5 linked regions of the Xenopus tropicalis genome follow. The protein of the gene in region 1 purifies or fractionates together with the protein of each later gene. This does not show direct contact. Links are inferred from orthologs where the notes say so. Each region holds a gene or a part of one and is shown in the gene's direction. Other genes may lie near its edges.

Region 1 (4,001 bases):
CATATAATAACCTTTCTAATGTTTTATTTACCAGTAGGTCCTTCCAACGGACACGAGGGCACCCACTTCGTTTAGAAGAAGGGAGGTTCCATTTAAATATTCGGAAAGGATTTTTTACTGTGAGAGCTGTGAAGTTCTGGAATTCCCTCCCCAAATCAGTTGTGCTGGCTGATACATTATATAACTTTAAGAAGGGGCTGGATGGATTCTTAGCAAGTGAGGGAATACAGGGTTATGGGGGATAGCTCTCAGTACTAGATGATCCAGGGACTGGTCCGATTGCCATCTTGGAGTCAGGAAGGAATTTTTTCCCCTCTGCGGCAAATTAGAGAGGCTTCAGATGGGGTTTTTTGCCTTCCTCAGATGGGGTTTTTTGCCTGTGCTAAAACACATGTAGAGACAATTATTAGTAAATGATCAGCATTGTCTATTTCTGTAGCTGCTACTAGTAGCTCTGTGTGTCTTCGCCTTAGTACTGGGGCAGAGGTCCTCTCTCCACCAGATCAGTGATGTGGATTTGGGCTCTACACCCTGGTGCAACAGTTTAGTTTAACCACATCCTCACTCTGTGTTCACCTGTGACCTGTTGTCTGACTCAAACACACATACATTTGAATTTCTGCTGACGAGTCTGCCAATTGGATAAGCAACACACATTTTACTACCTTGAGGCACAGTTTACTTGCTCTTTAGGACCCGACTGCAACTTTATTTCCAGTATTTTCAATATCATATTGGTTTGTTTATGTAAAGCTAATGTGCCTGAGATGACCACAACACATAAAAAATACGACAGGGAAAGCGAATGGCCAGCAGGCATAAAGCAGACGCATGCAGCATGGGGTAATCAGAGGACAATACTAAATTTCTCTCAAGAAAATGGTTGTTTTTAGTTTTCTTTTTTTACAATGGATATTTATCGGAATGTTGCGTTTCTACATTTTTCACTGGGAGTGCTGCCCAAAAGTGTTTGACCCAGTAGCTGCTAGTTACGCTAGTGCCAGCATGCTACCTCGGTTAGAATCAGAGGAAGCACTGTCAGGCCTTTGCCTCCCCAGTCTGCGCACAATTAACCCACAAGACCAAACTAGGAGATCATCTCTCGCTGTCAGAGCGCAGCAGCCTATCAGTACCTTTGGGGGCGTGGCCATTCTGGAAGCGAACCCATAGCATTAAAACGTGTTGACGCAAGGTACGCACTGCTTCCAAGATGGCGGTGACCAGTGAGGGAGCCGGTGTTGCTGGACTGAAACGGACTCATTTGGGAATTCCGGAGGCAGTGTTTGTGGTAAGGGCTAAAAGAGCAATTAACTGGTGCCAAGGCTTGTGCTACAAAACGACTTGTGTGTTGTCCCTGCTGGTAGCGTTATAGTGTTTGTGTGAGTGTAGGCCAGCTCTGGGCCACTGTCCGCATGGTTATCTAGGCGTGTTCCTTTCACAAAGCTTGACTCTATATGGAGCCTGGTTACTGCGTTACTATGCCCGACCTGTGACATGCGTAACTACATTTGTTGGCAGATTTCTTTTGCGGGCCGTTTCTATGGGCTCCGTGCCTGTGAGTTGCACACCTTCATTTCTTTAGGTTATAGAGTGGTTTCACTATGGTATAATTGGCCCTAGTATAGTTCTATGTATGTGTATTTTTATAGCACTACTTTCAAGTGCAGGGCTAAACAGTAAATTCCGAGACCAGAAGTGGAGCAATACAGTTTATAGAAAAGAAAGAAATAATGCAGTTATATGTAAGGCCAGGGATGCTGTCTGACATTGCAGGGACCAATATTCAGGGCTGGCCTTTTGGACCTATTGGGCCCTGCACCAGTGGGAATAAGTATATAAAGCAGTTGGTGAGCAACATCCAAGGGGTTGGGGAGCAACATGTTGCTCAGGAGCCACTGGTTGGGGATCACTGCCATAGACTGTCACTATGTAGTGGGCTGGTGGGGGCTGTTTGGGCCTCTGTGTCCTAGAAATGCCAGGGCCTATTTTGAATCCCAGTACAGTCCTGGTCATAAGACCCCCTAGAACCAATATAATGACCAATATGCATTGATATACCAAAGTATGTGGCATCCACGAAGAGTCTTTCACTGTGTAGTGTGTGCTTGAGGGGCCAATAATCACTCAAACTGTATATAGAATGCTTGGTGTTTCAGTGCCTAGTGCTTGGGGGCCACAGTGTGCCATGATTTGTTGGGGGCCAATGTAACGAGAAAGAAAGGTGATAGGGCAGGGTTACATCATCAGTTACATGGACAGAGAGAAAGAGAATCTTGGAATCTTGTGCCAGCTGGCAACACCTTGTGTAGGGGGCCTGCCAAAATGGTCTTAATTGGGTCCTGTTTATAAAACCGACCCTGCCAATACAACTAAGTTAGTAGGGTTCCACCCCTTCCCCCAAAGGGGCCTGGGTCCTTAGCTGTCTGCCTAACCAAGAAGTGGTTTAAAAATAAATAAAAACTCATCTATATAAGTAATGTCTTGTCCATGCTCTAGATATCCCTGGGCTATGCCGTTATTTAACATAACGTCCCTGGCCCTCTTTGTTGCTCTGTTGCATTTACTTCTCACTTTTGTGTTTCCGAGCCGCCATCATGACAAGGCCCTTAGTGTACCCCTTATTTAGCATTGAGACAAAAGGAAGAGGGTCTCTGTGCCCTAGAGCTTACTGTTTAAATGTGGGAGATAAATTGAACAAAATGTGTTATTCTAGCTCTCAGTATAAATATAAACTTATCAATGTTCTTCCTGTAAATTATAGAAAGATTGGCAAAGGATTATTTTTGTATGGTGCACATACAGGTCTGTATAGGAAATCTTCTTATCAATGAGTGACACCAACTGTGCACTGTACAAATTAGTGGACATATTATCATGATATGTTTGTAAAACAGGGTCTATCAAAATAATGTAATATGCCCGCAGTCTATGGAGACCATAAGCAGGGACTACAAATATTTAGCCGGCTGCTAATAGTTAGATAATCTTCTAGAAAATCGGTAAGTAAAAGGGTTATCCACAAGTAGTGGTATAGGACAGAGACTGTGCCCCAGAACAGATGGCCCATACCTTGTTTAAAGACTGTTTTGGATTGCAGTTTTATCATTGCACTACTGGTGGTCAATTATAAGGAGCCTATATGTGATGCTGAAATGTTTGCTTTCAATAGGAAGATGTAGATGCTTTTATGAAGAAACCTGGAAATGAGACAGCAGATGCAGTACTCAAGAAACTGGATGAGCAGTATCAGAAATATAAATTTATGGAACTTAATTTGACCCAGAAAAAAAGAAGGTATGTTGGTGGCTTGCTCTTTCTAATATGCCAGTATCATTTTGTATAAGAAACCTAACAATTTATTTTGTCTTTTTCAGGCTAAAGAGCCAGATTCCAGAAATTAAGCAGACCTTAGAAATTTTAAAACACATGCAGAAGAAAAAGGTAATGCATTAAAAGCCAAAGAACAGCTTTTAATTTATTGCATATGGTTGATGCATATTTTTCCACATTAAGTAGCTCTGCACACTAAAATTTCTCTCATTACCTTCAGAAGTACAGTGGACTTAAAAGGGTTGTTCACTTTTGAGTTAACTTTTATCATGACGTAGAGAGTAATATTCTGAAACAACTTGCAATTGGTCTTTATTTTTTATTTGTATTTTTATTCCACTTTCTATATATTAGTGTGCCCAATAATGCTGATCTTTATAGCTTTTAAGCAACTGGTCATGTTCTCCTGCCTCCTTACATGTGACCCCTTGCTTCCCTTCCCTGTACACTTGACTTGAGTGGGTAATTTGCAGTTCAGCTTTACAGGTTGCTCTTCATATTGCCTAATTCTTTCCTCCTTTTCTGCATATTGCTCTACAGTAGATTCTCTCTGACAATGTTTCTGAATAGTTTTTAATTGTGTAAAAAACTTTGTGTTTATTGATGCACGGTTGGTGGGTGATTACTGCCCAAACATTGATGTCATCGGCTGCACTTGGGCGCCAATTTAG
Region 2 (2,316 bases), about 21 Mb from region 1:
ACCAGTGCAGGGAATATTACATAATATAATATTCACTTGCTTTGGTGTTACTGTACCTTTAACAACACAACTGATATTTAACATGACTGAATTGGTAAATGTTTTCCCTGGACTGGTCATAATTTTTTCATATTTAACAGTTTCTATATATTTGTGTGTGCTGACAGTCTAAGTATGTTATTTATAAACAGATGGCGGAACAGTTACAAGAGAAGTTACAATCCGAGATCAACAAATACCAACAGCTCCAGAAAGGTACGTATTATACTTCTATATCATCTCTCTCGTCTCTTGTTGGCTCTGTGCCTTTGTGCAGCAGATAATAATCATTCGTTTCTTAATTGATAAATGCATCACAATGATAGTTCTAATAGTGATGTTACTGATGTGCATGTGGAACAGAAGTAATTTGGTTGCTCTTTTGCTGAAGTATAAGAATTTTTTGGAGGGGAAAGAATATCTTTGAGATATGCGGTTTCTGTCTTAAGCAGGTGTTGAGCTGGCTCCCCTGCACAGGCCCAGAGTCTGGGGGATGGATGGCTTGGAGGTCAGTTAAAGGAGACATATTGGATAAATGGAAAAAACACTAATTTTGTAGGCAATTATGAATACTATATGGTGCTGGTTTCCCTTTGGGCTAAATTTGAATACTGTCTGCAAAAATGGCCCCTTTATTGGAGCTTCCTATCCTCTCTGTCAATGTTGACGGGTGGGCGTGTCCTAAAAGTCCCTACCAGAAGCACAGTAGGAGGGGGATAGCCAATCACAGCCCTGCAGTCATGCAAGCAAAGTCAGGCTTCAGTTCAATATCAGGTCAGCCTAGCTGGCAGGAGTGCCACTGGCTCCAGAGAATTCAGCCAGCAGGAAGTGGAACAGATGGGCGGGGTTAGTGGGGTTTGGGGGAATTTTCTCAATAAATCAGTCTGAAACACATCTTTTTTTAAGCACAATCCTTCTATTTCTAGAGGAGTATAATTCACTGGTACATTCTTAATTTTTATATGATATGTCTCGTTTAAGGTGAGATTTGGGGAGAATGTCAATTTGATATCATTGATACTGCTGGAAGCTCAGTCAGGAAAGTCAGTGTTACTTGAAATAAAACTTGCAAGATGTTTTTGGGCCCATGATTGAATGAAAGATACAGCAATATATTCATATATCTATAAGCTTGCTGTTAGCTAAGGAGGAACATTTGGAAAGTTCCAAAAGGTACACATATATAATAGGACCAGTAACAGCAAAAATCACTGTTTTAAATATAATTGAAATATAATGTACCCTGCACTGGTAGTGTTCAGAAATGATAATACAGTTTATATAAAAAATCTGCTGTCTTCCTACAGGGGCAATTTTTTTTTTATGTATGCTGGATGAACAGATATAAACTTTAAATGTTAAAAAAAATTATAAACTTTCACTTTTTGATGTTACTTGTCCTTGAATTTTTTTTTATAGCTTTTTGTGTTTTATTGGCTGGTATTATTCTGTCATGCTTCTCTTTCTTTAGAGATCAGCAATACTATGTCAGCCAGGCAGAAGCTTGAGGCTCAGTTGACTGAGAACAACATTGTCAAACAGGTGAGTTTGAGGTAGGGGGGAACATAGTTAGCAAATGAATGCCAATATGTATATGCAAGCACTTGTACAAGAGCAATATAAACTCGCCACATACCTCAGAGTTACATGACCCTTACAAAAGGACTCTGCATGCGTTCTTTTAATTATAAAGTAGGGATGCACCAAATACAGCATTTGGTTTAGGGTTTGGCCAAGATTCAGATCAGGCTAAACCGACGTGAACTGGCACATGCCTGGGTGAACTGAATGCAAATTCTTAAAATTGCGTGACTTTTTGTCATCCCACTGAGACAATACCAGTCTTTCCTAATTTAGCAAAGAAACACTTCTTGAGGGACCATAATCCAATTTGTGCAGACATCTGTAATGTACTTAAGTCAATCAGGTAACTTACAAGGGTAGGTGTGATACAGGTAATAAGCTTCAACTGATAATTTTCCTACAAGGGGAGCAAATGAGCAGGGACAAATGTATTAAATGTGTAAAAATGTGTTAATCCTAATGTTTACCTGGTCTGAATTCTACACATGAAAAATAGAAACAAAAATAATTTGTGTATATATTTAGTATAATTATTTTATTATTAATGCTAACTGCTTATTTATATTATTTGACTGCACCCATCACATACAGCATATTTATAGTTTAGAGAGAATACAGCCACATCAAGCAAAGTTATTGTTGGTGGAATCAGTTTTTGCTATTTGATATCTTACGCCTCCCCAAAAGCCATGT
Region 3 (4,126 bases), on another chromosome or scaffold:
ATATAAACTGATGCTACAGGGCTAATTATTCAATTTTGATGCAATTGCCCTGGTTTCAGATCTGTCATGTAATGTAAATGAATTACTAATCAGCCTTTCACTGTTACATTTATATTCTGTATATACAGTATATTGTGAGTGGGTCCCTAAGCTCAAGTAAGTGACTGCAACACAGAGCATGTGCAGGGAATCAGCAGAAAAGAAGATGGGGGGGGGGCTACTGGAGGGCATCTTTGGGGGCACAGATCTTCCCTGCAAAAGGGCTGTTTGTGCCTTGGGCTGGTACAGAAACCCATAACATAATTCACAAAATTTCAGCCCTACTTCTTTGTTAAAAAGTGTGCACAAAAGAAATTATTTGTGTACCCTGCCAAGAAGAAATTGGTTTAAGGGCACTGCTGTATGGGGCAGATTCTGCAGTTAACTTGCAGGCCGAGAATCTGCTGTGTGGCAGTGCCCTAAAAATCCCACTGGCATGTTGATGAGGCCTACATGGGTGCCAATTATGTTTATGGCCCTAGGGAAAAAGTGGCTGTTTAGTTCAAAACTAGACAGGTGTCAACCCCCAAGTGCACTGACAAGTGATTCCTGTGTTAGTCCATTCAGTGGTCATCTTTAGTGTTTTACCAGCTGCTAGGGCTGTCCAGTGCAGCCGTAAGCACCAGACTTCTGACCTCGCCCCCCTCGTATACAGCTACACTTTTTTTCTTTTTAATATAGGCACCCCTAGCGCTGCCCTACATAAATATGGCCCATGCACCCATGAGCTAAATCATGCACAGGGGATCTTGTCTGAGCAAGATCACCTTCAGGCTGGGCTTTTAGAACTATCTCCCAAAATAAGAAATATTTCTTTAACGTTGCCCCATTTTCAGCCATGATTTCAATTTATGGCGTTTGTAACTGCTTACAAAATACAGTCTAATTCAAGATTCCAGAAACATATGGGATAAACAGTCTAGAAACTCATAACAATCCTATTGGGTGCGAATCGAATTACAACCCTTCCCCATATATTTCTACATATAACTCCCCAGCCACTGTGTCACTGCCGGTTTAACACGTTGTGTGTAAATCACGCACACATATTTGTTTATATGTTACATCACACGTTACACCCTTGGTTCACTCTACACAAAACATAACTTCTGTGGCAAAACAAACTACTAGCAACCATGGCTCAAATATCTTTAAACAGTAAGAGCTCTCGCTGCTAAGCCACAACTCAACCAATCCTCCAGCAACTATACGCTGGGCGTTTCCCAAGAACGCCCACCAATGCGCCCAGCTTCACCTTAGCAGCTGCCAATTGGAATTGCCAGTAAAGCACCAAGAGCCAATCACAAGGCTGCTTGCGATGACGGCGGTATAGCGTATGGTTTCCTCGCCGCCGCGTTGCGCATGTGCCCGGCTTTAATATGGCTACCCCTGTGGATCTAGAGCTGAAGAAGGTAATAATAATTGTATTTCATTTATACTAATGATTTTTATCATGTACGTGTTTTCATGTAAGTGTATGTTTATATAAGAATTCAGATGCTGGTGAATTCACGGTGCCTGCAGGATGAATGTGCTTTTGGCTGGAGTGCGGCCAGGCAGCTAGTGCATACGCTCGGTGGAATGCGAATGTAGTCGTTTTTGTATTTCTAGTAGGGAACTGTATTTGTAGTAAAGAATTTTGATATCATTTGATTTGTGTGTGTGTATATATATATATATATATATATATATATATATATATATATATATATATATATATATATATATACATATATATACATATACATATACATATACATACACACACATACATACATACATACATACTCACACTCTATAAACCCATAGTTCTATAAACGAACACTTGTTTTTTTCCAAATACATAAAGAAGGGAAATTTAATAAAGTATATTTACTATTAATGTAAGATTCATCCTTTTGGAAGGCACTATCTCCCAGTGCATTGTTTATTTGCAATTAAAACAGTCTTTAGAACGCAAAAACATTGCTGTTAAATCTTTGCTTACACCTAAAATTTGGGGGCTTAAGTGTTTAGTAAGATTGGAGATAAATATCACTGGTGATGTTGCCCATAGCAACCAATCAGATATTTGATTTTCATTTCTAACTTGTAGGTGACTGTTCAAATCTAATTCCTGATTGGTTGCTATGGGCAACATAGCCAGTGATATTTATCTCCAATCTTACTAAACATGCCCCTGTGTCCTACATCTGTGGTTTGCTTGACAGACTTTTTCAGTTCAAGCCCACCTTGGAGCCCAGTTAGTTCATAACAAGGTGTATGGAAATGTTGTATCAGCTATTCAGGAAGGGCTCCCGGAATACCCATTTTCACACCAAATTTCTCTCTAACTGAGCTTCTCGCTGGGTTTTTAGAAAAATAGGCCCTCAAGTGGGCCATACAGGGGCCCATTCAGACCAAGTTGACAACATATCAGCCTGTTTATGAGTAATGTGAGACTGCTTGACTGACATTTGCAAAGGATGCACTTTTACAAGCAGAGTAGTTTAAAAACTGGATAGTTTCTAAAATATTAAAAATATTACCTGCTTACACAATCTTGGGTGAAACTCAGATGTAGAGATTGGCAGTGGCTAGAAAGCATTAGCGAGGACAGCACTTAGATACAAATTGTTTAAAACCATGTTTTGTATTGCAGGCTTTCACAGAGCTTCAAGCCAAAGTTATTGATACCCAGCAGAAAGTTAAACTTGCAGATCTACAAATTGAGCAGCTAAATAGAACAAAGAAGCATGCATATCTTACCAATGCAGAAATTATGAACCTGTCTGATTCAACGCCTATGTATGAAGGAGTAGGAAGAATGTAAGTAATGCTGTTTTGCTTTAATCATACAGTCATGCATTAACTTGTCTTTTTAAGTGTAAATTGTAAAGAAAAGTAGACCTTCGGCCCACTCTCCCCTTCTCTGTTCACTCAATTTCTTTAATCTCTTAATTACGCAGTTTTACATAATATTATCTATCCTTTCCTCCATTTCTTCAGTTTCTTTTCATATAGGATTGAGTAATGGCCATGGTATACGCATACAAGGCAAATGGTTGGGTGAGCAGGAGGGCCCACTGACACTTGGGCCACCGGGAGTTTTCCTTGTATCCTGGTGGGCCAGTCAGACACTGCACAGACCTACCGATCCCTTCGAGGGCCAAAAGACAGAAAAAATACAAGGGACCATATACTCTATGGATGCCTTTCTGTTGTTCCTTGTATTCATAGGGAATGAAGGGAACAGTTCCTCATCTTCCATACACAGGCTGTAATGGGTTCTTAGCAGGTTACATATTTATACCCACCCAAATGACAAACCAATCAAAGTACATGGATATAGGCTGCCACGCACATACTGAAAATCGTTAACTGTGTTCCTATGTAATCCCCATTTGACTGTGCCAATGACTGTATTTATAGACTGGCTATTGTTAAAAACCAAGAACTTTTTGGTTTTCTTACATAACCATTGCTGTGGAGAATAGAAAGTACTTATTCATAGGCGAATGATTCAATATTAACACATTTCTAAAGGTGGAAAGCATTAAAGGCCAAAAAAAATGCATTAGTATTTCAGATGCTTTAAATGTTCCGTATGCCTTTAGAACAGAAAGTCTACATTTAGGAGGGCGTTATAGTCACTAGTATAAGTGGAACTTTATAGTTTAGGTAATCCATTGATCTCAGGGAACATGCTTATCTGCAGCTGGGAAGTCCATATATATTAAAATTTAGTTGAATGCGCTTGAATGCACTTGTGCAATAGCCCTCTACAGAGGGTTCTGAACAGCAACTTCATTGGAATAGGCCATACATAGGCAGATTTAAGTCAAGCACCAGCCTAGGGCACAGAACTCTTTTGTTTGTCTGTTTCCCCTTACTTCGGGCCCCAGTTGACTGGGAGAACTGCCAGAAGTCAGAGAGAGCAGCCGCTATTTTGCACTCGCTCGGGGGGGGAGTGGGTGCAGTATAGCCGTCGCTTACTCTTCCAGTCAGTGTGCGCTCGTTACAGGAGGGGTGGGCACGGAGCAGTGCGAGCTGGGGGGGGGGGGGGGCAAAGTTCTAAATTCGCCTGTCATTGATTTAAGCTCCTCAG
Region 4 (4,020 bases), about 92 Mb from region 1:
GTAACAATAACAATAAACTGGAGCCTCACAGAGCAATAGGGTTTGGCTGCCAGGGTCAGTTATACTGTTGCTAGGGCTCAAATTACCTTAGCAACCAGGGAGTGATTTGAATGAGAGGCGGGTATATGAATAGGGGAGGGGCTGAATAGAGAGATAAGGAATAAAAAGTAACAATAACAATAAAACTGGAGCCTCACAGAGCAATAGGGTTTGGCTGCCGGGGTCAGTTATACTGTTGCTAGGGCTCAAATTACCTTAGCAACCAGGGAGTGATTTGAATGAGAGGCGGGTATATAAATAGGGGAGGGGCTGAATAGAAAGATAAGGAATAAAAAGTAACAATAAAACTGGAGCCTCAAAGAGCAATAGGGTTTGGCTGCCGGGGTCAGTTATACTGTTGCTAGGGCTCAAATTACCTTAGCAACCAGGGAGTGATTTGAATGAGAGGCGGGTATATAAATAGGGGAGGGGCTGAATAGAAAGATAAGGAATAAAAAGTAACAATAACAATAAAACTGGAGCCTCACAGAGCAATAGGGTTTGGCTGCCGGGGTCAGTGACCCCCATTTGAAAGCTGCAAAGAGGCAGAAGAAGAATTTATTTAAAAACTATAAAGAAATAAATGGGAAACAGGATTGGGAGATTTAGTCCAAGACACTAAGTGCTAAGACTTTACTTTCCCTTTAATCTCTTTACCAAGATAGGGAATGAGCTGGGAACCCCAAGATGAACCCCATTTGACTTGTTATTCTCTAGTGTAGTTATATATGTTTATTTAACCTGCATCTGGGCAGAGAAACCCCAGAAATGGTGGCTGACCAATAACAGGCGCACTAGGGAGTAGTCACATGACAACAGGAGGCTAACGTCAGCTCCCCGGGCTTTGGCTGAGCATTCTGGGATCTGTAGTTTAGAGACTTCCGGACACCCCATTAGCCAATCGCATTACGCAGCCCCCCCGCACGGGCTATAAAGAAGCGGCGATATATCTGACACACACACTTTCCCAGGAGGCCTCAGCTGTCACAATGTGTTGACGTCACTTACTACGGCCCGACTATGACGCGGCTTATGCGCCCCACCAACCAGGCGCTTCCAGTCATGCTTTTCCCTCTCTCAACATGGCGCCGCCAGGACTTCCCGGGCGGAAGTGGCGTCGGAACGCATAGACTTCCGCTGCGCGGAGAAGGTGCGCAGTGCGAGAGAGAAGCGTGATGGCGTCTAATGCAGCGAAGCAGGTGGCGGCCGAGCAGGTACTGGGCATGGTGGGCATAATGGCTGCTGGGGGGTCTGCCCGGCCGGTACCCCCCCCCCCCAACCGGCCGTTTAAAGGGCAACTAAGCCCAAAGCCCTTTTTTCATTATGGCCATTCATTCCCTTATATAGACACATGTGCTATTATAAGCTCAGTGGGAACAGGCTTCCTTGGGCATTTACTCAGATTCATTCCCTATTGGGATCCCTGATAGCCTTCCCACAGCAGCCCAGGAGCAGCCGGCTCTTCTGCTTCCTAGAAACTGTTGCTAGCCAGCTTGGTAGCAGTGTTGCTATGGTACTGAGCTGTTAGTGATATCCCATAATCCCTCAGTTGGAAGGGGGTTCAACAATGGGACTGGGGCACCTTAGTGTTTTATTATTACAGAGAAAAGGGAATCATTTAACCATTAAATAAACCCAATAGGGCTGTTCTGCCCCAATAAGGGGTAATTATATCTTAGTTGGGATCAAGTACAGGTACTGTTTTATTATTACAGAGAAAAGGGAATCATTTAACCATTAAATAAACCCAATAGGGCTGTTCTGCCCCAATAAGGGGTAATTATATCTTAGTTGGGATCAAGTACAGGTACTGTTTTATTATTACAGAGAAAAGGGAATCATTTAACCATGAAATAAACCCAATAGGGCTGTTCTGCCCCCAATAAGGGGTAATTATATCTTAGTTGGGATCAAGTACAGGTACTGTTTTATTATTACAGAGAAAAGGGAATCATTTAACCATTAAATAAACCCAATAGGGCTGTTCTGCCCCAATAAGGGGTAATTATATCTTAGTTGGGATCAAGTACAGGTACTGTTTTATTATTACAGAGAAAAGGGAATCATTTAACCATGAAATAAACCCAATAGGGCTGTTCTGCCCCAATAAGGGGTAATTATATCTTAGTTGGGATCAAGTACAGGTACTGTTTTATTATTACAGAGAAAAGGGAATCATTTAACCATTAAATAAACCCAATAGGGCTGTTCTGCCCCCAATAAGGGGTAATTATATCTTAGTTGGGATCAAGTACAGGTACTGTTTTATTATTACAGAGAAAAGGGAATCATTTAACCATTAAATAAACCCAATAGGGCTGTTCTGCCCCCAATAAGGGGTAATTATATCTAAGTTGGGATCAAGTACAGGTACTGTTTTATTATTACAGAGAAAAGGGAATTGTTTAACCATTAAATAAACCCAATAGGGCTGTTCTGCCCCAATAAGGGGTAATTATATCTTAGTTGGGATCAAGTACAGGTACTGTTTTATTATTACAGAGAAAAGGGAATCATTTAACCATGAAATAAACCCAATAGGGCTGTTCTGCCCCCAATAAGGGGTAATTATATCTTAGTTGGGATCAAGTACAGGTACTGTTTTATTATTACAGAGAAAAGGGAAATAACTTTTTAACGTGATTAAAAAAGAAGTCTATGGAACATTATGGATAAAGGGTTTCTGGATATTGGACCCCATAGGCCCCTGTAAGAAGATGAGCCAATGCTGGGCTGATCTGTTTGCCCACATTGTTTAAGAGTTGCCATTAAAGGGAAAGTTAAGCCAAATACCCTTGTTTAATATGTACGTTCTGTGTTTGTTGCTACAGGTGGTGGCTGGATTTAATCGCCTGCGCCAGGAGCAGCGAGGTCTCGCGTCCAAGGCAGCGGAACTGGAGATGGAGCTTAACGAACACACGTGAGTCTCATTAGCAAACAGGTCGTTCAGCAATGAAGAATCCTTCAATGTGATTCTCCCCGAGGGTCGTTATTCCTCTCTGTTGCACGCTACATTTGTTCTGTAGTCGGAACCAGTGCAGATCTCCCTAACTAACTGACAGTCGTCTCCCTCGCTCCGCAGGTTGGTTATCGACACCCTGAAGGAAGTGGAGCAGGGCAGGAAGTGTTTCCGGATGGTCGGGGGGGTACTGGTGGAACGCACCGTGAAGGAAGTGCTTCCGGCTTTGGAGAATAATAAAGAGCAGGTAAGGCTCTGCCTTGTGGGCACCTAATTAAAGGGCATATTAACCTTTATTGGGGGCAGAACAGCCCTATTGGGTTTATTTAATGGTTAAATGATTCCCTTTTCTCTGTAATAATAAAACAGTACCTGTACTTGATCCCAACTAAGATATAATTACCCCTTATTGGGGCAGAACAGTCCTATTGGGTTTATTTAATGGTTAAATGATTCCCTTTTCTCTGTAATAATAAAACAGTACCTGTACTTGATCCCAACTAAGATATAATTACCCCTTATTGGGGGCAGAACAGCCCTATTGGGTTTATTTCATGGTTAAATGATTCCCTTTTCTCTGTAATAATAAAACAGTACCTGTACTTGATCCCAACTAAGATATAATTACCCCTTATTGGGGCAGAACAGCCCTATTGGGTTTAATGGTTAAATGATTCCCTTTTCTCTGTAATAATAAAACAGTACCTGTACTTGATCCCAACTAAGATATAATTACCCCTTATTGGGGCAGAACAGCCCTATTGGGTTTATTTCATGGTTAAATGATTCCCTTTTCTCTGTAATAATAAAACAGTACCTGTACTTGATCCCAACTAAGATATAATTACCCCTTATTGGGGCAGAACAGCCCTATTGGGTTTATTTCATGGTTAAATGATTCCCTTTTCTCTGTAATAATAAAACAGTACCTGTACTTGATCCCAACTAAGATATAATTACCCCTTATTGGGGGCAGAACAGCCCTATTGGGTTTATTTAATGGTTAAATGATTCCCTTTTCT
Region 5 (4,285 bases), on another chromosome or scaffold:
TGTTTGTAGATGTAGCTGCAGCAAAGTACTTTATTTCCCATTGAGAGGGGTGTGAGTCTAGCAGGTGAAATGCTATCATGGTGCCTGTGGGGAGACCAAAGAATATCTCTGGCAGAAGTACTGGTGAAGAGAGCAGTATTATTAATAACATTTATTTATTAAGTGCCAACATATTCTACATATTCTACAATCAGTATTTTGAAGCATGTCAACTCTGAAAAGGAGATGCAAAAAGAAATGCAATGCTGCCCCCATGTGGAAGGCAGTTTAGAACATGTCCTATGAACTTTCACTGCAATAGATGCCTTTTAAGAAGAGGATTTAACACAAATTAATATGCTATGCAACATTCCAGTAACCCACAGATACTTCTAGGGTCATACCGAAGCCCATCAATAAAGCTAAGAAAGGTAACCTTAGACTGGCAGAAATACTTGTATTAAAAGCAGTCAAATCAATCCCGTAATGTTGGACAGCAACACAACCCCCATCAAAGCAATTACGAGAACATAAGCTTCTACATACTGTGCAACTTCAGTGGGTCTTAGCTCTTCAAGATTAATAATCAAGAGGATCACTGTTCTATAGCGTTTGGAACAAATACCTAGACACATTTGTCAATGGGAAAACAACACAAACAATTAGCCCCATTCGGGTTTACTAAATGTTGGGTGGAAAACTCTCTTTTGGAATAACTAAATCCACCAACTAACCAAACAAATTCTGCTCCCTCCTCCTCACTTGCCTAAAGACCAAAAAGGCATTACTTTGTATTTATTTTTATGTATTTTTTAAGAAATGCAACACTGTCTGGGACTGATGACACTACAACAGCAAGTCAAGTTAAAGTATTTTTTTTGTGACTACATTTTGCATTGTCCTGATGACTTGCTTTTGCCTGTAGAACTTTAATGTGTACTATTTTCATGTATGAGCATTCATATTATGGCTAATCTTTCTTTGTACACAAGAATGTGTGATACATGACTGCAAAATGTAAATTTTTAGTGAATTTCAAAATTTCTTAAAAAACAGTGCTTAACCTACTGCATAGATTCTTAAAATATTATATTGTTATGGGGGGGTCTCTCTTCTTCCGTTTCCTACTGTTTGTTTCCTACTCTATATGTTCCTCTATTCTTTCTTCTCTATTGATTGTTGAAATACCATGTTACTGGTAGAAATGAGGTAGTTTAATGTAACAATAGCATTTTGTGTACTTTTGCACTTATTCCTCTCTTTGCAAAATAAGAAAAAGAAAATCTAAAAAAAATATATATATATTTCTGCGATTTGACTTATTTATAAATATCATGTTAGCAAGCGGACCATCTGCCAAGTACACGGTCCCTTACATGTTAGTACGCATGCGTCGCAGCCTCCGGACTATCATAGAGCGCTAGCCGTGCGTACAGAGCGCCAAACAATATACGGTTTCCCAGCTAGACAGTCACTATAGTAATGTAGTAGGAAGGCGGGGTTCTTCCTCTCTCAAGATGGCGCAGACAGTGAACATTACCGACTTGTCTCTGCCGCAGTTGGAGGGATTGAAAAGTCAGTTGGACCAGGTATCTTAGTTAATCTTACATTGCCGTCTTAAATTGGGGATGCCTCTGTGTTGGTTTTTCCCCACGACTAAACGTAGTGTCCCACAACTGGCTTGGATGAGTTCTGGCCACCCCGTGGCTGTGGATCCCTTACTCCCAGAGTCCCACTGCAGCTTTTGCTGTCCCGCCCCAGCCTGGTGTTGCTCATACTCCGGGGTTACAGGGTTAGTAAGGCCTTCCTTATGTGCCTTTTCCTTTCATAGGAAGTGGAGTTCCTGTCCTCCTCCATCGCTCAGCTAAAGGTGGTTCAGACCAAGTATGTGGAGGCAAAGGAGTGCCTGAGTGTGCTGAACAAAAGCAATGAAGGTGAGTGACAGCGGCAGCCAGTTAGTAGGGTGTGTCAGTCGGCTTAGTTCCTCTCTCTAATAACCTGTATGTGTTTATCTGACAGGGAAGCAACTGCTTGTTCCCCTGACCAGCTCTGTATCCTTTTCATCACTATATTATGAAAAAGCCATATGGTGGCAAAACCAGTGAGCTGCTTCCAGTTTTAAAGTATGTTCTCTTCTATTTGTTTATTATATTATTAATGTAAGGAACGTTGTAAGTCTGTAGCAAGCTAAGTGTCAAAAATCTACTAAACAGTAATGCATTTTTATCCAAAGTTTAAACACTAAATGGCTAAACTGCTTAGGTGACTGCTTAAAAGAGTGTGATGATGGTTGTTATAGTGTAGGAAAAACATGTCAAGAATAGCAGCACGGTGTGTTTTTCCTGGGTACTTGGACAAAAATGTACTGTATACAGTCAGTCAGGCTATACAAAATATAGACCAATTGAAAAGTTGCTAATATTATAGGCCATTGTACAATGTACCAAAAGTTATCTTAAAGGTGAACTCCCCTTTTAATGAGCAAAAAAAAATAGAAAACCAGTATTTGCACAACAGTGTTTAAAGAAGAACAGTAGGTGTGTGGGTTTTTTCCCCCTTAACCTTTCATGTAGATGTATGTGCCTGGGACTCTTAATGATGTGTCAAATATACTGATCGATGTGGGTACTGGATATTATGTGGAAAAGGTGAGCTACTTTTTTGTTTGTTTTTTAGCTTAAGGTGTGACTGTGATGAGCAACCTACTGTTAACATTTTCTTGCGCAAAAGTTTGTTAGTATATTTCTAACTATACATAACACATTATTGCTACTCTTCAAACCATCTGGTGTGACAAACAGATTTAATTTTTATTGGTTGAATTAAAAGCAACTGGTTTATTTTTATTTTTTAAAATTTAGCGTGTTCTGGAACATGCACAGGTTATTCTCGCAGTTAAGATTGGCAGAACTTGTGCAAGTTTTGCCCAAGAGACCATTGGCTAGACCAGTAGGAAAGCGAAAAGCAGCAATAGGGAAATTTGACTACTTGTGTAAAGCTGCTGTACATATGCATAAGCCCTGTATAGGTAAATAATAATCCACACTTGCTTACTTAGTTGCCCTTTAATATCATACCACAATACATTCACAACAATGTAGCCATATCACTTCTAGAGGTAATTTGGTGCTGATATCACTCAGAGAAATTTACCTCTAGAAGTGATGGCACTTATTATAACTGAAAAAATAACTTGAAGCACTTATATTTATTATATATTATATATATTAGTGAACCTGGGCCTATGTGCTTTTACCCCAGAAAAAGTATTTTTTTGTTAAACTGTCTGCTTGCAAAGTGGGAGACTTAGGCAGCTGCAGTTCTCTGCAAGGAATTTGTTAGGCCTACAGCAGAGGATGTTAAGCTAAGCAATTTAACAGCAGTGTGCTTTGTAACCACTATATATATATATATATATATATTATATAATATATACATATTTTGGTTTCAGAGTACCAAGATAAGATGTTATTTTATTTTTAAAGGTGGCCATACATGTAGCAATTCCGATCTTTCCTGCGACCATGAGTTGCAGGAAAGATCGTTCGTTTCCCCCACTGACATTCAGAGTCATCGGATGTGAAGGTAGAAACAATAGGAATTCTACCTCCACCTGCCGGTTCAGCCCTGAACGCAGGTTTTGTTCGGGCGCCTTCAATGGCGCCCAGTCAAAATCTTTTAACCCGGCTGAGCGATGAGACAACCGATATCCGCAGCCTTTGCAATAACGGTCATCTTGTCGATCTGCCATACACGCACCAAATATCATACAAAACGAGGTTTTGTACAGTATCATCAGTGCGTGTATGGCCATCTTTACTCAGTCAAAATATAATGAATGCAGTGCACTTTAAGCTGACAGGATCTGTAGGTATCTGTTTCTGATAAATGTATCACTGGGCACTTGTAGTGTAAGTTTTTAATATAAGGAGATTCATGAATTCGGAAAGATATATGGTATGATTAAAGCTTAGTTAATTTTGAAGGCATATTGTGATTATTTGCCTTTACAGGGCACATATACCCACTGGTATAACTTAGGGCTGAACTTCACATGAGATTTTGTAGAATGGTGTTGGTTTGACAGATCGCATCCTGTCGAATGTAGTTGCATGGTTAAAAAATAATGGGACTGATAGAAAAATCTGATGTGTAAACTATATGAAAGCTTTGCCATCAGATGCAATGTGCCTTTTGGTAGTCGACTTTGCCTGCTGTGTCTTCATACAACCAGACAAAATCTCATAGTGTCTGAAAGAGATTTTTTCTCATTAAAATACATGTCTGATATAGACACGGAAACAGG

What was found.
Region 2: the proteins of vbp1 (region 1) and pfdn6 purify together in Homo sapiens (affinity purification with mass spectrometry; 6 studies listed by BioGRID and IntAct, counting the BioPlex papers as one, with this or other methods). This does not show direct contact. The link is inferred for Xenopus tropicalis from reciprocal best matches to the Homo sapiens genes VBP1 and PFDN6.
Region 3: the proteins of vbp1 (region 1) and pfdn1 purify together in Homo sapiens (affinity purification with mass spectrometry; 4 studies listed by BioGRID and IntAct, counting the BioPlex papers as one, with this or other methods). This does not show direct contact. The link is inferred for Xenopus tropicalis from reciprocal best matches to the Homo sapiens genes VBP1 and PFDN1.
Region 4: the proteins of vbp1 (region 1) and pfdn2 fractionate together in Homo sapiens (co-fractionation; 8 studies listed by BioGRID and IntAct, counting the BioPlex papers as one, with this or other methods). This does not show direct contact. The link is inferred for Xenopus tropicalis from reciprocal best matches to the Homo sapiens genes VBP1 and PFDN2.
Region 5: the proteins of vbp1 (region 1) and pfdn5 purify together in Homo sapiens (affinity purification with mass spectrometry; 7 studies listed by BioGRID and IntAct, counting the BioPlex papers as one, with this or other methods). This does not show direct contact. The link is inferred for Xenopus tropicalis from reciprocal best matches to the Homo sapiens genes VBP1 and PFDN5.

Annotation. Positions count from the first base shown.
Region 1 is NC_030684.2:50,630,697-50,634,697, forward strand, and holds the start of vbp1 (prefoldin subunit 3), read left to right. Parts: upstream 1-1,186; 5' UTR 1,187-1,210; coding exon 1,211-1,288; intron 1,289-3,169; coding exon 3,170-3,294; intron 3,295-3,374; coding exon 3,375-3,441; intron 3,442-4,001. UniProt on the Homo sapiens protein: Binds specifically to cytosolic chaperonin (c-CPN) and transfers target proteins to it. Binds to nascent polypeptide chain and promotes folding in an environment in which there are many competing pathways for nonnative proteins.
Region 2 is NC_030684.2:72,107,075-72,109,390, forward strand, and holds part of pfdn6 (prefoldin subunit 6), read left to right. Parts: intron 1-191; coding exon 192-255; intron 256-1,510; coding exon 1,511-1,581; intron 1,582-2,316. UniProt on the Homo sapiens protein: Binds specifically to cytosolic chaperonin (c-CPN) and transfers target proteins to it. Binds to nascent polypeptide chain and promotes folding in an environment in which there are many competing pathways for nonnative proteins.
Region 3 is NC_030679.2:31,788,178-31,792,303, forward strand, and holds the start of pfdn1 (prefoldin subunit 1), read left to right. Parts: upstream 1-1,321; 5' UTR 1,322-1,418; coding exon 1,419-1,451; intron 1,452-2,680; coding exon 2,681-2,847; intron 2,848-4,126. UniProt on the Homo sapiens protein: Binds specifically to cytosolic chaperonin (c-CPN) and transfers target proteins to it. Binds to nascent polypeptide chain and promotes folding in an environment in which there are many competing pathways for nonnative proteins.
Region 4 is NC_030684.2:143,080,137-143,084,156, reverse strand, and holds the start of pfdn2 (prefoldin subunit 2), read left to right. Parts: upstream 1-1,211; 5' UTR 1,212-1,214; coding exon 1,215-1,253; intron 1,254-2,870; coding exon 2,871-2,959; intron 2,960-3,121; coding exon 3,122-3,245; intron 3,246-4,020. UniProt on the Homo sapiens protein: Binds specifically to cytosolic chaperonin (c-CPN) and transfers target proteins to it. Binds to nascent polypeptide chain and promotes folding in an environment in which there are many competing pathways for nonnative proteins.
Region 5 is NC_030678.2:147,137,793-147,142,077, reverse strand, and holds the start of pfdn5 (prefoldin subunit 5), read left to right. Parts: upstream 1-1,475; 5' UTR 1,476-1,496; coding exon 1,497-1,568; intron 1,569-1,810; coding exon 1,811-1,913; intron 1,914-1,998; coding exon 1,999-2,030; intron 2,031-2,552; coding exon 2,553-2,627; intron 2,628-4,285. UniProt on the Homo sapiens protein: Binds specifically to cytosolic chaperonin (c-CPN) and transfers target proteins to it. Binds to nascent polypeptide chain and promotes folding in an environment in which there are many competing pathways for nonnative proteins.